Linked DNA regions of Stegostoma tigrinum. The protein of the gene in region 1 purifies or fractionates together with the protein of each later gene. This does not show direct contact. Links are inferred from orthologs where the notes say so. Each region holds a gene or a part of one and is shown in the gene's direction. Other genes may lie near its edges.

Region 1 (7,240 bases):
GAAATGACTGTACTCACCATAACAGACGGGACAGTATAAATTCCCAGTGGAGTAGAATAACATCACTTCATCGGAACCTCCACTGATGGCGTCACCTAGCATGGTGACAAAACTTGTGAACAAAAACAAGCCAGCTCGGCGAGCAAGTCAACAACTTCAACCGCTACCTGAGGCTGAATCAGAATATTTGTAAACTTGGCACCCACTAAACTCTGTGTTGAGATATCAAGCCCTCCTTTTCATCAACTATATTGCCTTTTCCATCTTCAAGTCATCATCTGTTTCTTCCCCTGCTGCAGCTAATTTGCTGTTAAAATCTTAATTCATTCCCTGTTACCTGTAAAATTAATTGTTCTAATGATTTTCTGGCTGGACTCCAACATTTCATTCTCTATGAATTTGGACTTATTCAAAACTACCTATGTCTGAAGTTAGTGAGTCTCATTTGTCTGTCACCCGTTTCTCACTGACAGACATTTTCTCCTAGGTGACTAATGCATCAGTTTGAAAATTCACATCCTTGTTTTCAGAGTCCTACACAGCCACAGTCCATGACCTACCTGTGTTCTTTCCTCCAACCCCTACAATCCTCCAAGATACTTGTGCTGCTCCAATTCAGGCCTCTTGAACACCACCTGTTTTAATTGCTACAATGTTGGAGGCAATGTCTTCAAGTGCAGCCTGGAACATAAGATGTGGAATTTCTGCAACTAACAAACACCATACTGCAACACTACCGCCACTCACTTCTCATGACCCCCAACTTTTCTACTGTTCTTTCCTTTTTAAAAATGCTCTTTAAAACTTGTTTCTTTCAGACAACTTTCCAGATATCTGCATGATGTCAAATTTTGCCAAAGAATTATCTGCACTAGTAATTAAGGCAGTTATTTGAATATTAGGATTCTAAATAGCGAGAGGAATTTGGGATTATTCTAATTTGTTTATGTGGGGAAATTATTAGCATGCTATAAGATATAGAAACAGTAATAAGCTATTCAGCCCATTGTGTCCATTATTCAAGGAGATCATTGCTGATCAGATGATCATCAACTACACTTTCTTGTCTTATTCCCCAACCCTAGACTCCTTTAATAATTAGAATTCAGCTTTGAATATGCGTAATTACCCAGATTTGACAGCCATCCTCTGGTGACTGTCTGTGTGGAGTTTGCACATTCTCACTGTATCCACATGGGTTTCCTGCAGGTGCTCTGGTTTCCTCCCACAGTCCAAAGATGTGCAGGGTGGGTGGATTGGCAATGCTAAATGCCCATAGTCCTCAGGGATGTGTAGATTGGGTGGGTTATAAGAGTACAGGTCTGGGTGGGATGCTCTGAGGATCGGTGTGGACATGTTGGGCCGAAGGACCTGTTTCCACACTGTAGGGATTCAATGATATCTATGAATTCCACAGATTCACCTGCCTTAAATAGAAGTTCCTCCCCATGTCTATCTTAAATGGGTGACCCTTTACTCTGAGATTATGCCCTCTGGTGGTAGAATCTTCCACAAGGGAAAGCAACCTTTCTCTATCTACCCTGTCAATCCCACTAAGAATCTTATATGTTTCAATAAGGTCTTCTCTCATTCTCCTAAACTCCAATCAGTACACATTTTCTATAAAGAAAATCAATTGATTGATTGATTGAATGATTTAATGTCATGTGTACCGATGTACAGTGAAAAGCTTTGTTTACAAGCAGTACAGACAGATCATAGTAAGCAAGAATGCACCGTTCAAAAAGACTTAGACAGAGGCATACAGGTTATATTGCACAGGGCATGCACCAGGCAAGATCAATGTTGCAAGATCCGTATTATTTGAGGCTAGAAAGTCCACTCATTAGTCTAATACCAGCTGGGAAAAAGCTGTTCCCTCCATACACTAGACCAATCTAGTGAATCTTCTCTGGATTGCCTCCAATGCCAGCATATCTTCCTTTAGCTAAGGGGAAAAAAGAACTGCTCACAGTATTCCAGGTATGGTTTGACAAGTTAACAAAGTGTGGAGCTGGATGAACACAGCAGGCCAAGCAGCATCTCAGGAGCACAAAAGCTGACATTTTGGGCCTGGTCTAGGCCCGAAACGTCAGCTTTTGTGCTCCTGAGATGCTGCTTGGCCTGCTGTGTTCATCCAGCTCCCCACTTTGTTATCTTGGATTCTCCAGCATCTGCAGTTCCCATTATCAATGATTTGACAAGTACCTTGTTTAATTTTATAAAGGCCTCACTATTTTTATACTCCACTCCCTTTGAAGTAAGGGTAAACATTCCATTTGCTTTCACCATTAACCACTGAACTTGGTTTCTAATTTTTTTGTGATTTATGTACCAAGACTTCCAAAATCCCTTGTCCTGCAGTTTTCTGCAGTCTTTGCACATTTAAGTATTATTCAGCTCTTCTATTCTTCCTGCCAATGTGCATAACCTCACATTTTCCAGCCCTATATTCCAATAACTAAGCTTTTAGCCACTTGTTTAACCTGTCTATTTCCCTTTGATGACCCTCGGTATCATTGTCACTACTTGCATTCCCGCCTTTGTTTCTGTCAGCTGCAAACTTGGTGATCATGCATTCACTGGGGGTGAACCAAGTGACCAGTCATTGACATTTATCATAAACGAAAACAGAAGTTGCCGATAAACTCAGCAGGTCTGGCAGCATCTGTGGGGAAAAATCAGAGTTAGTGTTTCGGGTCTGGTGATCCTTCTTCAGAACTGATGGAGGCGAGGAAATTGGTGGTTTATATGCGGAAGACAGGATGGGGGAAGGGGGTGATGAGTAAATGGTAGTTGGGTATAGATCCCAAAGAGATAGAACAGTTGGACAAAGGAGTTGATTACAATCTGGCCAGGAGGGTGATTAGCTGTTTATGGAGACTGTCAGTGGCTGACAATAGGTAGTGTGAAATGACAGGCTATGTGATAACAAGGCCTGAAGTGTGGGGTGGGGACAAGGACGTGGGAGAGTCCAAACTCTAAAATTACTAAACTCCACATTGAGCCGGGTGGGCTGCATGGTTACCAAGTGGAAAATGGGGTAACAGAGTGTGGAGCTGGATGAATACAGCAAGCCAGGCAGCATCAGAGGATCAGGAAAGTTGATGTTTCAGGCTGGGACCCTTCTTCAGAAAATGGAGTGTTATGCTTCCAGCTTGTGCTGAACTTCACTGGAACACTGCAGCAAGCCGAAGACAGAGATATTGGCCAGGGAACAGGGTGGTGTGTTAAGGTGGCAGGCAACTGGAAGCTCAGGATCATTTTTGCAAGCAGAACATAGATGTTCTGTGAAGCAGTGATAATGGGAACTGCAGAGGCTGGAGAATCCAAGATAATAAAATGTGAGGCTGGATGAACACAGCAGGCCCAGCAGCATCTCAGGAGCACAAAAGCTGACGTTTCGGGCCTAGACCCTTCATCAGAGAGGGGGATGGGGTGAGGGTTCTGGAATAAATAGGGAGAGAGGGGGAGGCGGACCGAAGATGGAGAGAAAAGAAGATAGGTTGTTCTGTGAAGCAGTCACCCAGTCTGTGCCTCATTTCCCCAATGTAGAGGAGACCACATTGTGAGCAGCAAATGTTGCAGACTAGATTGAGTGAAGTGCAAGTGCTGCTTCCCTGGAAAGTATGTTTGGCCCCTTGGATGCTGGGGAGGTAGGAGTCAAGTGTGATAACAAGATGTAGACTGGATGAACACAGCAGGCCAAGCATCATCAGAGGAGCAGGAAGGCTGAAGTTTCCTCTGATGCTGCTTGGCCTCCTGTGTTCATCCAGTTCTACACCTTGTTATCTCAAATTCTCCAGCACCTGCAGTTCCTACTATCTGGGAGATAAGTGTTGCAGCTTCGGTGGTTGCAAGGAAAGGTGCCGTGGGGCTACTGGGGAGGTTGGTGTCAGCAGAGAAGGAATGTAGACCAAGGTATCCCGAAGGGCACGGTCCCTGCGCAAGGCAGACAAGGGAGGAGACGGTAAGGACAAGGAGAACCTTATCGTTGTTGAGGGAGAGACAGTAGATGGTTCGGACCCCGTTAAGAAATGATGGACTTTCGGTTTATATTTCATTGCCACGTTCCTTCGCTCTACTGCCAGTCACCGTGGGCAGTTGCCAGGAGCAAAAATGGTCGCCGCAGTTGTCACAAATAGTTTGTTGACATGCGCATGCTGCGTGCGCAGCTCTCGGGACTTGCTCGCTCTCTATGGTGCGGTCGCCATCGTTGAGAGAGCGGCGGGGCGGGAATATGGCGGTGGAGTCTAGAGTCACCCAGGAGGAGATCAAGAAAGAGCCAGAGAAGCCGGTGGATCGCGAGAAGGTGAAAACTGTTCGCACTGACGGGGGTGGGCGGGGGCTAAGGTAGTAGCGGCGACCCTGCAGGTTGAGTCAGGTCAGGGCCTGGGATGTCACCTCCGGGAAAGTGCACGTTGGATGATGCCGCTGCCGCCGCCTGAAAGTGTCCGGAGCTCGGATTCTGACTGTAAGGGTGCGGGCTCTCTCTGTCTGTCTCAAATGTGAACCATTTCTCACTGAGTGAACTGACTGAGGGCCCGCGGTCTACGCTGATTGAGGGTGAGGCCAAGATTTCCCCTTCGGTCCAGTTTTAGCCGGTAACTGGAAATTTCTAAATCAGAAACTAGGAAGTATTTTGTTTTTCAACCTTTGTTTTGTTCTGAATGTTTTTCTTTGTAATGTGTTGTGACGGTGCTAATAGGGTTTCCAGTTAATCGTAGAATTACGGCTAGGGACCAGTGCAATTGGAGCTATGGGTCGCCTACTGTTTAATTTCATTGACTGAAATTAGACTGGACATCGGGTACGTCGTGGAGGGGTGATGTGATCCCCATTTTGCCAGCGCTCAGAACAAATTTTTGTTTTCACATATAAGAACAAAAAAGGGACACACTGGTTTATGCAAATAATTTAGCCATGCCTGAATTTTGCATCCAATATTTTATGCCTGTTCACAGCATTCTTTTCTCCGCACATCTCAGTTTGGTAAACGTATCCCATTCAGAAGAAAGCGTAAATCTCTCAAATCGTTTCAAAATAGATGTGAAATTAAGTGGAGAATTTTGAATGCAGCAGGAAGCTTGTTTTTTTCGATAGCCTTTTAGCTTGTGATTTTTCTTAAAAATAAAAATCTGTTTCACTGCAGACTTTTGTGGGGTTTTTTGGTTTCTTTGAACACCGGACCCAAGTCGTTAACTCTGTTTTCTCCTCCACAGATGCTGCCAGACCTGCTGAGCTTTTCCAGCAACTTTTTGCTCCTGATTTACAGCATCTGCAGTTCTTTTCATTTTATAAGTCACATTAGAAATGGGTTTCCACAATTCAGTGTTTTTTTTTCATTATGGAAAGTGAATGTTGCAGGATACCTAACCTGAATTGCCTTGGTAAAAGTGATGGTGAAGTACCATCTTGAACCATTTCTGTCCTAAGAGTGTAGCGACACCCACAATGGTGTTAGGAAGGGAGTTCCAGAATTTTGATCCACAGTAGCAGATTAACTTGATGCTGTTAATTTTCCCATGTTTCAGCTACCCTTGTCCTTGTAGGCAATAGAGGTTTGGAAGATGCTGTCAGGGGATCCTTGGTAAAATACTGTGATGTACTTCGTAGGTGGTACACATTGCTGCCACTATGTCAGTGCTGAAAGAAGTGACTATTGAAAGTAGTGGTTGGGGTGCCAATCAGGTGGATTGTTTGGCCTGCGATAGTTTCTTGGCTGTTGTTGGAACTGCGTACAGGCAATGGACAGTATTCCATGCCGTTCCTGATTTGTGCTAGACTTGATATTGGGCAATGAGATTTACAACAGTCTTTTTCCCAGATTTTACAGCATTTTGCAGTGTCTTGTTTTTATCTTAAATCTGTGTCCTTTGGTTCTCGATTCTTCCACAAACAGGAATACATTCTCTCAACTCTGAACCACACAATTTTTGACACATGTCCTCTTGTTATCTCTAACAAGAACAACCACAACTTCTCCAATCTATCCAAGAGCTGAACTTTCCTATTCCTGAAATTATTCTCCCAAATCTTTTCTGCATACTCTCTAATGCCTTTACATCCTTCCTAAAAAGCGATGCGCTGATCTTGAGGCTGAGCCAGTGTTTTATATAGGTGTCTCAATTTTCTTCCATTTGTACTTCGTTCCCATTCTCATGAGCATACTTTAGAAACTCTTTCACAACTAGCACAAGAGTGCTGGAGGAACTCAGCAGATCTGGTAGCATCGGTGGTGATAAACAAAGTTAAATTTTCAAGTCTAGAATGACACAAATGTTGCCAAACCTGAGTTTTTCCAGTATTTTCTGTATGTTACAGATTTCCACTAACCACAGTATTTTGCTTTTATTAGAAACTCTTTTCCCCTTTCTGCCCTTTATGCTATTACTGTTCAGTCGCTACTGGATTAAAGTTTTCTGTTGTAACTACACTATAATTCATGAATGTTCTTGCAGACTTGTTCCTCTACATCTTTTCCACTAGTTAGTTGCCTATAGGGTACATCCAGAAGTGTAATTATATTCCTCTGTTCCATAGCTGTAAGACTCCTCTAGGATAACCCCTCTCATTAGTACTTTAATTTCTCTTTAATTAGTATTGCTCCCCACTTTTCCAGAGTACCTTGCATCTAGGAATATTTAGTCCCTCACTCTACCTTACTCATTCAAGGCATCCATTATCACCACAACATAATTTGCATGTGGCTATTTGTGTCTCCCCCTCACCAGCCATATTTGGTGCACTTAATACATTCACATGTATCCATGTTAAAACTTACAGCATGCCCCTTACGCTGACAGTATTTCATGTCATGTTGTATCCTATTTGAGTTTTTTTGTCTTTACAATTCATTGTGCATTTTGTTTTGCTTTGCTAATATTCCACGCTTGTACCAATTAGTTTAAACCCACTGAAGTAGTGTTAATAAACCACCTCAGCGGCTGCTCACTAATCAAGTGCTGATGTCTGCTATTTCTTTGCTTAATAGTGCGGCCAACTGAAATATTTTTAACTCTTTTCTAAAAACCTTGGATTTAAATTTACTGAAAAATTCATTGTCCCTTAACTATTTAATTTTAACTGTATCTATCAGGTCAAATTAATTGAATACTGATTGTAATGGAATGATGGCAGGTGCTGACCTAATCGTATTATCAGTAGCCTATTAATCTAGATATTTAGGTAATGCTTTACGTCATTGGGTTCAAATCCTACCATGGCAGATGGTGCCATT
Region 2 (7,630 bases), on another chromosome or scaffold:
ACACACATCCCACCCCCACCCACATGCAAATGTGAACTGATCTATCAGCTTCACAATCAGTACGACCGGTGCTGCCCATTCCACACCCTGGGCTGGTTTAATAATTCCCTCACTTCCCAGCCTCCTGGTTTCTGCTTCGACCTTCACCCCTAAGGCACCGGGTGGGCCCTTGCAGGATTGTGGGATTGTTTCCTGCTCCAAATGTGTAAGTTTGCCTTGGCTCCTGCCACAGTCCCTGGACTTTCCTGAAAAATTTCTGGGTGTTTACTTCAGACTTCACTCAGGCAGCCATTTTTCAATCGAAAAATGTGAGCCAATCAAGGTGGATCTTTCTCAATTTCACCCCCATCAAGGTTGAGCCTGAACCTTTTACTACAATCAGTGCAGTGATAACTGCACTAACTGCTTATTGAAGGAGACTGGAAGTGAAGTCGTAACCCTACTTTGTGACGGTTCCCCACCACATCATCTCAGTCCGTCCAAGGGTTTGCACAAATAGTCCAGAGCAGATCTTGTTAAAGAGATAATGGGAACTGCAGATGCTGGAGATTCCAAGATAATAAAATGTGAGGCTGGATGAACACAGCAGGCCAAGCAGCATCTCAGGAGCACAAAAGCTGACGTTTCGGGCCTAGACCCTCTCTGATGAAGGGTCTAGGCCCGAAACGTCAGCTTTTGTGCTCCTGAGATGCTGCTTGGCCTGCTGTGTTCATCCAGCCTCACATTTTATTATCTCAGATCTTGTTAAAGTCTGGTTCTGCAATCACTGATGATTCTGTGCCGGTATCAACATCCATGATAACTGCGTGACCATTGAACCAGAAATTTGTTTTGTTTGGTCCAGAACAGATGCAATAGAGAGAGAGGAAACGGGAGAATGGATTGGAGTCTTTACAGGAACTAGGCTGTGAGGATGTATAGTCAGGTAGCGGTGGAAATTGGTTGGTTTGTACTTAGATATTAGTGGCCAGTCTGTCCGCAGAAATAGAAACGGATGTTGAGGGAGGGAAAGCAGGATGGACCAGTTGAAAGTGAGGGTTGGGTGGAAAGTATAAGCAAATAGATTAAACATTTCCCATTCCGGACCAGAGAGGGAGGCAGCACTGATGATATCATCAAGATACAAGACAAAGAGTTGTGGGTGCGGGCCGGAATAGGACTGGAACAAGGAATGTTCCACGTGCCCCATGAATATTCAGGCATAACTAGGTCCGATGCAGGTACCCATGGCCATCCCTCTAACCTGAAGAAAATGAGAGGAGTTGAAAGAGTTGTTGAGGGTGAGGACAAGCAATGGAGGGTGTTGGTGGGTGGGGACGGTTTAGGCCTTTTCTCCAAGAAGCGGAGAACCCTGAGACCACCGGGGTGTGGATGTGTAGAAGGATTGCACGTCCATTGGAAAGAGGAGGCAGCTGGAGCATGCAAACTAGAAATTCCGAAACTGACATAAAGGTCAGAGGAATTGCGGATGTAAGTGGCAAGGGGCTGGACAAGGGGAGAAAAATTGAGTCAACGTAGGAAGAGAAGGGTTCTGTGGAGTAGAACTCACTTATGTGAGGGTCTGACTATGAAGTCCATGCTCCCAGAGAGGGAACGTAATTTACAACACGCGTCACTTCATCATTATTTTCTATTAAGTTAATGTTTGTTGTTTGTCATTCAACATAATTATTATTATTTATTGTCTATTACTTATTGTTGGTAATAATTATTATTAGATACTTGTTTAATAGTGTTAAATATTTGTTATTATTCATAATTATTTATTATTGCATATTTATTTTGTGTAGTTTAACATTATTTGTCATTCATTTCTTGCATATTATTTATTGTTATTTAACATTTAGTTTTTTTATATTTATTGTCTACCATGTATTTGTTTATCCTTTACTAGAATTTACCACATCTGTATTGTTAGCCATTATTTAAAATTTAGGATGTTCATACTGTTTTCGTTTACATTTATTGTTCATTATTATAAATACTTATTGTTGTTTAGCATTGTTCAATAGGGAAGGACTTACAGGGTTAATAGTAAGGTCCTGGGGAATGTTGCCAAACAAAGAGACCTTGCAGTGCAGGTTCATAGTACCTAGAGTTGCAAATAGACAGGATAGTGAAGAAGATGTTTAGTACACTTGCCTTTATTGGTCAGTGTGTTGAGTCTCGGAGTTTGGAGGTCACGTTGTTGGTTGTCTTTACAGATTGTCAGTTAGGCCATTTTTGGAATACTGTCCTTATTTCTGGTCTCCTTGCTATCGGAAGGATATTGTTAAATGTGAAAGAGTTCAGAAAAGTTTCACAAGGATGTTGCTGTGGTTTGAGGGTTTAAGCTGTAGGGAGAGGCTGAACAGGCTGGGGTGTTTTCCACTGGAGCATCAGAGGCTGAGGGGGTGACCTTATAGAGGTTTATAAAATCATGAGGGGCATGGATAGGGCGAACAGTCAAGATCTTTTCCCCAGGATAGGGGAGTCCAAAACCAGAGGGCATTAGTTTAAGGTGAGAGGGCAAAGATTTAAAAGGGACCTAATGGTCAACTTTTTCGTGCAGAGAGTGGTGTGTGTATGGAATGAGCTGCCAGAGGAAGTGGTGGAAGCTGGTACAATTAAAACATTGTGAGAACCAAAACTTGCTCACAAACTCAGCCTGAGACAAAGCCTTGGAAACAAGAACAATTTTATTCTGTGCGATCATGCTATACAGGCGCACACTACAAAGCATGTGAAGCATTCTTACACAGTTTACAAGTTGCGGAATCACACCTCCCTGGTCCCATTGGTCCAATCTTATCCTATCATTCTCCATCCTATCGGGCCGCCCTTGTTTATTGTTCCCCTTTTCTGCCGGCCTAAAACCCCATCCCCCTGTTTATTCTTTCCTTATTGGGTTAGACTGGAAAGGACAAGTTATGCAGGTGGTCGTGCTAACTGCCGCCTTTGCAAAACCTAATCGTTGGTTAATAATAAACTTCTGCTACAAAATCTTGTGACTATTTATGTAATGGTCCTCTTTTGCAAGACCACACCATTCATCATTATCTGCAGAAACAACATTTCTAATCTCTCACAACATTTAAAAGGCATCTGGATAGTTACATGAATAGGAAGGGTTTGGAGGGCTATGGGCCAAATACTGGCAAATGGGACTAGATTAATTTAGGATATCTGGTCAGCATGTATGGGTTGGAGCGAAGGGTCTGTTTCTGTACTGTACAGCTGTAGGACTCTATTATTTGTTTATTTAGTAATTTATTATTTAGCGCGATTGTCATTTCAATTAATTATTCACAGGTATTATTTACCATTATTATATTACTATTTTTTTGTTCACAGTTTATTATCGTTGATCATTATTTACTCTGCATTTATTGAATGGTTTATTATAATTATTTATTTCCCATATTTTATATACTCAATAGTTATTCATTCTTCATTTTACTATTAATTATTTAGAATTGTTATTGTATGTTATTCACTGAGTATTTATTTCTTAGTGTTTATTAATATTTGTATATAATACACTATTTACTGTATATTTTTTATTAATGTTTACCGTTGTTATTTATATTTACTGTTTATTATTTACTATTAATGACTATCTCACGATTTGCTATATGTTTATTTTTGGTTATTGTTTGTTCATTATCTATTATTTAAAATTATGAATCAATATTTATTCTTTTTTTGTTTATTTTAATCATTCATTGTACATTTGTTATTGTCTACTGTTATTCGTCATCTTTGGTCATTTACAACGTTATTGTTTATTATTTACTGTTATTTATGATCATTAATTTGTTTTTTTTTCTTGTTTATTAATTTTTAAATAAAATTCTGACATTGTACCTGACCTCTGACCCCTCCAAACCTGAGCGCGGGAAGGAAGGTCATGAAGAGAAAAATAAACCAGAGGGACTGCTCCGGCTTCTAGTTCCACTTTAAATGAACAGAAGGAGCCAGAGGGGGAGAGAGAGAGAAAAAGAGATAAAATATACCGAAAAAAAACTTTTTATAAACGCTCAACCGTGTCTGAACCCACCCTCCGATTTCCGCTTCCGGTCTGGGGCGGTGCTTCTGTGACCCCAACGTATTTATTGTTGGATGAGCCTCGGGCATTCGTTTCCGGTTCCGGTCCGGCGCTGACGTGACCCCCTCCATCGTGTTTACGGCCGGGAGGTCGGCGGTTTCCGGTTCCGTTCTGCTCTTGGCGCTCACGTGGTGCTGGCGGGTAGAAGCGGGCGCGCATCAGCTCCGGGCCGAGTGGCAGCGTCTCCTCCCGCATCGTCCGGGTCCGGGTCCGGGTCCGGGTCCGGGTCGGGGGGTAGGGGGCAGCTGAGGGGGAGAAGAGGACAAACGGCTGCGGGGTCACTAGGCCCCTCCCCCAGGGCCAGAGCGGGGGTCATTAGGCCCCTCCCCTAGGTGAGAGGGGGGGTCACTAGGCCCCTCCCCCCAGGTGAGAGGGGGGTCACTAGGCCCCTCCCCCCAGGTGAGAGGGGGGGTCACTAGGCCCCTCCCCCCAGGTGAGAGGGGGTCACTAGGCCCCTCCCCCCAGGTGAGAGGGGGGTCACTAGGCCCCTCCCCCCAGGTGAGAGGGGGGGTCACTAGGCCCCTCCCCCCCAGGTGAGAGGGGGGGTCACTAGGCCCCTCCCCCAGGTGAGAGGGGGGTCACTAGGCCCCTCCCCCCAGGTGAGAGGGGGGTCACTAGGCCCCTCCCCCCAGGTGAGAGGGGGGTCACTAGGCCCCTCCCCCCAGGTGAGAGGGGGGTCACTAGGCCCCTCCCCCCAGGTGAGAGGGGGGTCACTAGGCCCCTCCCCCCAGGTGAGAGGGGGGTCACTAGGCCCCTCCCCCAGGTGAGAGGGGGGTCACTAGACCCCTCCCCCAGGGCCAGAGCGGGGGTCACTAGGCCCGTTCCCCCAGGTGAGAGGGGGGGTCACTAGGCCCCTCCCCCCAGGTGAGAGGGGGTCATCAGGCCCCTTCTTCCCCCCCCCCCAGGGCCAGAGGGGGTCACTAGGCCCCTCCCCCCAGGTGAGAGGGGGGTCACTAGGCCCCTCCCCCCAGGTGAGAGGGGGTCATCAGGCCCCTTCTTTCCCCCCCCCCCAGGTGAGGGCGTCTCAGCAGGCCCCTTCTTCCACCCCCCCCCTCCAGGGCCAGAGGGGGTCTCAGCAGGCCCCCTTCCCCCAGGGCCAGAGGGGGTTCACCAGGCCCAGCAGGAACAGGAGGAGGTCTCCGGGGAGACTGGGAACCCAGTGTTTTGGAGCAGGGGCTTGCCCAGGTACTTAGATCCCAGACGGAGAAAGACCATTTGTAGTTGGGTGCCCAGTCGGAGAGAGTCAAACAGGCCTTTGATTTAGAGCAGGGGGGCCCTTGGGCAAAGGGTCACCTGTGAAAGGAGCAGGTTGTAGCTACTGCCCAGTGCCTGCTGCTGCTGCTGCTGCTCTGTCCCCTTTGCAGCCCTGCTGGCAGCCTGACCGTATAGCTGCTGATACGAGGTGGGGTCCTTTCCCGTATAGGGCAACATGGCGAGCTCTGACATCCTCGAATACAATGACATCTACCAGGAGTTGAAAGGAACAATGGTATGTACTCGCAAGATGGTAAGGGGGGGTTGGGTCGTGGCTGGAGAGGAAATCTCAACGTCAGGACTGTGCAGAAGTGAATGCCTGTCTTTGGTGGGATGAGGTGGTGGAAGATACACTGTCTGGGTGATATCCACCTGGGGGGTGGCCTTGGTATGATCTTAGATATTTTTTGGATTCGTTGATGGGATGTGGGCATGATTAGCTGTGTCAGCATTTCTTGCCTGATCCTAACCGTTGAGAGTCAGCCACGTTGCTGTGTGTCTAGGCCAGACCAGGTGACGATAGCAGATTTCTTTCCCTGAAGGAGACTAGAGAACCGGATGAACCACCATCTGCTGCTGATTTGACTCCAGATCTCTGGATTAGTTGGCTCATGATACCACCACTAGGTCATCATCTCCGTTTGAATGGGGGTTGGGGTCACATCTGTCCTTGGGGTGGTGAGTGGCTGAGCTGGAAATTTGCATAATGACCACTTCCTGATCTCTGTCCCATAGTCTCCTCTCTGCACCCTACCCCACTCCAGGGGAGACCCCTCATGATAGTGAGCATCTCCCCCTGAGCCTTTGTGCTCGATGGAAAACCCTCCCAGAGAAGCTGCACGTGACCTGAAGTCATAGAGATGTACAGCATAGAAACAGACCCTTTGGTACAACTTGTCCACGGGGACCAGATGTCCTAAATCAATCTAGTCCCATTTGCCAGTATTTGGCCCATACCCCTTTAAACCCTTCCTATTCATAGACCCATCCAGATGCCTTTTAAATGTTGTCATTGTACCGGCCTCCTCCACTTCCTCTGGCAGCTCGTTCCATACCTGTGCCACTCTGTGCAAAAAAAAAGTTGCCCCTTAGGCCCCTTTTAAATCTTTCCCCTCCCACCTTAAACCTATGCTCCTCTAGTTTAGGACCCCCCCCCCCCCCCCCCGTCATGGGGAAAAGACCTTGGCTATTTACCCTGTCGATACCCCTGATGATTTTATAAACCTCTATATGGTCACCCTCAGCCTCCAACAGTACAGGGAAAATAGCCCCAGCCTATTCCGCCTCTCCCAGGAGCTCAAACCTTCCAAACCCAGCAATATCCTTGCAGATTGTTTCTGAACCCTTTCGAGTTTCACACCATCCTTCCTATAGCAGGGAGCCCAGAATTGAATGCAGTATTGCAAAAGTAGGCTCACTGTACAGCTGTAACATAACCTCCCAATCGGTATACTCGCTTGATTCATGGAACAGTAAAGGCCAGCGTACCGAATACCACCTTCACTGCCCTGCCTGAAGTCTGAGTCCCTGGTGGTGAGGGTGAGGAGGGAGTTCTGTCAGGGATTGTGTTGTAACCTGTGAGCTGTTCCTACCCACAACCCTGTGCAGATCGATGGACGCCTGCGTCTGAGCCGTCAGACAATTGTCTTCAAGAACAGTAAGACCGGGAAAGTGGACAGTGTCCAAGCCTCGGATGTCAGTGATGGAGTGTGGCGGCGTGTTGCCAGGGGTTATGGCATCAGGCTCCAGCTAAAGAATGGCAACCTCTGCAAGTTTGATGGATTCCGGGAAGGGGTGAGTGTGGAAAGACAGACCAAGCCTGAGGCTGTTGGGAAGGAGAATCTCCCTCCTGGCCCCTCTTTCTCCCCGCCACCCAATCACCTCTGGTCAGGAGAGCTCTTGAATTCTGTCTTGACAACTTGTTTTCCTGTCTGCAGTCACGCCACTCAACCCATCGCATCTATCCCTGTGCTTGCTGATCTTAGAGCTGATCTCCTCTTGTCCTGCTCCATCTGCCCCACTCCCTCCCTTAACCACGCACATGAGTAGGTGCACGGTATCCCACACTTCCACAAAGTGTTAGCCAACTGAGGGATATAGAGACTGGAACTGTGCACGGTGCTCCCAGTGTGGGTCTGACTGAGGGATATAGAGACAGGAACTGTGCACGGTGCTCCCAGTGTGGGTCTAACTGAGGGATATAGAGAAAGGAACTGTGCACGGTGCTCCCAGTGTGGGTCTGACTGAGGGATATAGAGACAGGAACTGTGCACGGTGCTCCCAGTGTGG

What was found. The genes of interacting proteins can lie anywhere in the genome.
Region 2: the proteins of sap18 (region 1) and FACT complex subunit SSRP1-like fractionate together in Homo sapiens (co-fractionation; 3 studies listed by BioGRID and IntAct, with this or other methods). This does not show direct contact. The link is inferred for Stegostoma tigrinum from reciprocal best matches to the Homo sapiens genes SAP18 and SSRP1.

Annotation. Positions count from the first base shown.
Region 1 is NC_081359.1:73,360,402-73,367,641, forward strand, and holds the start of sap18 (histone deacetylase complex subunit SAP18), read left to right. Parts: upstream 1-4,178; 5' UTR 4,179-4,198; coding exon 4,199-4,312; intron 4,313-7,240. UniProt on the Homo sapiens protein: Component of the SIN3-repressing complex. Enhances the ability of SIN3-HDAC1-mediated transcriptional repression. When tethered to the promoter, it can direct the formation of a repressive complex to core histone proteins.
Region 2 is NC_081399.1:1,282,029-1,289,658, reverse strand, and holds the start of FACT complex subunit SSRP1-like, read left to right. Parts: upstream 1-4,611; 5' UTR 4,612-5,516; coding exon 5,517-5,576; intron 5,577-6,949; coding exon 6,950-7,135; intron 7,136-7,630. UniProt on the Homo sapiens protein: Component of the FACT complex, a general chromatin factor that acts to reorganize nucleosomes. The FACT complex is involved in multiple processes that require DNA as a template such as mRNA elongation, DNA replication and DNA repair.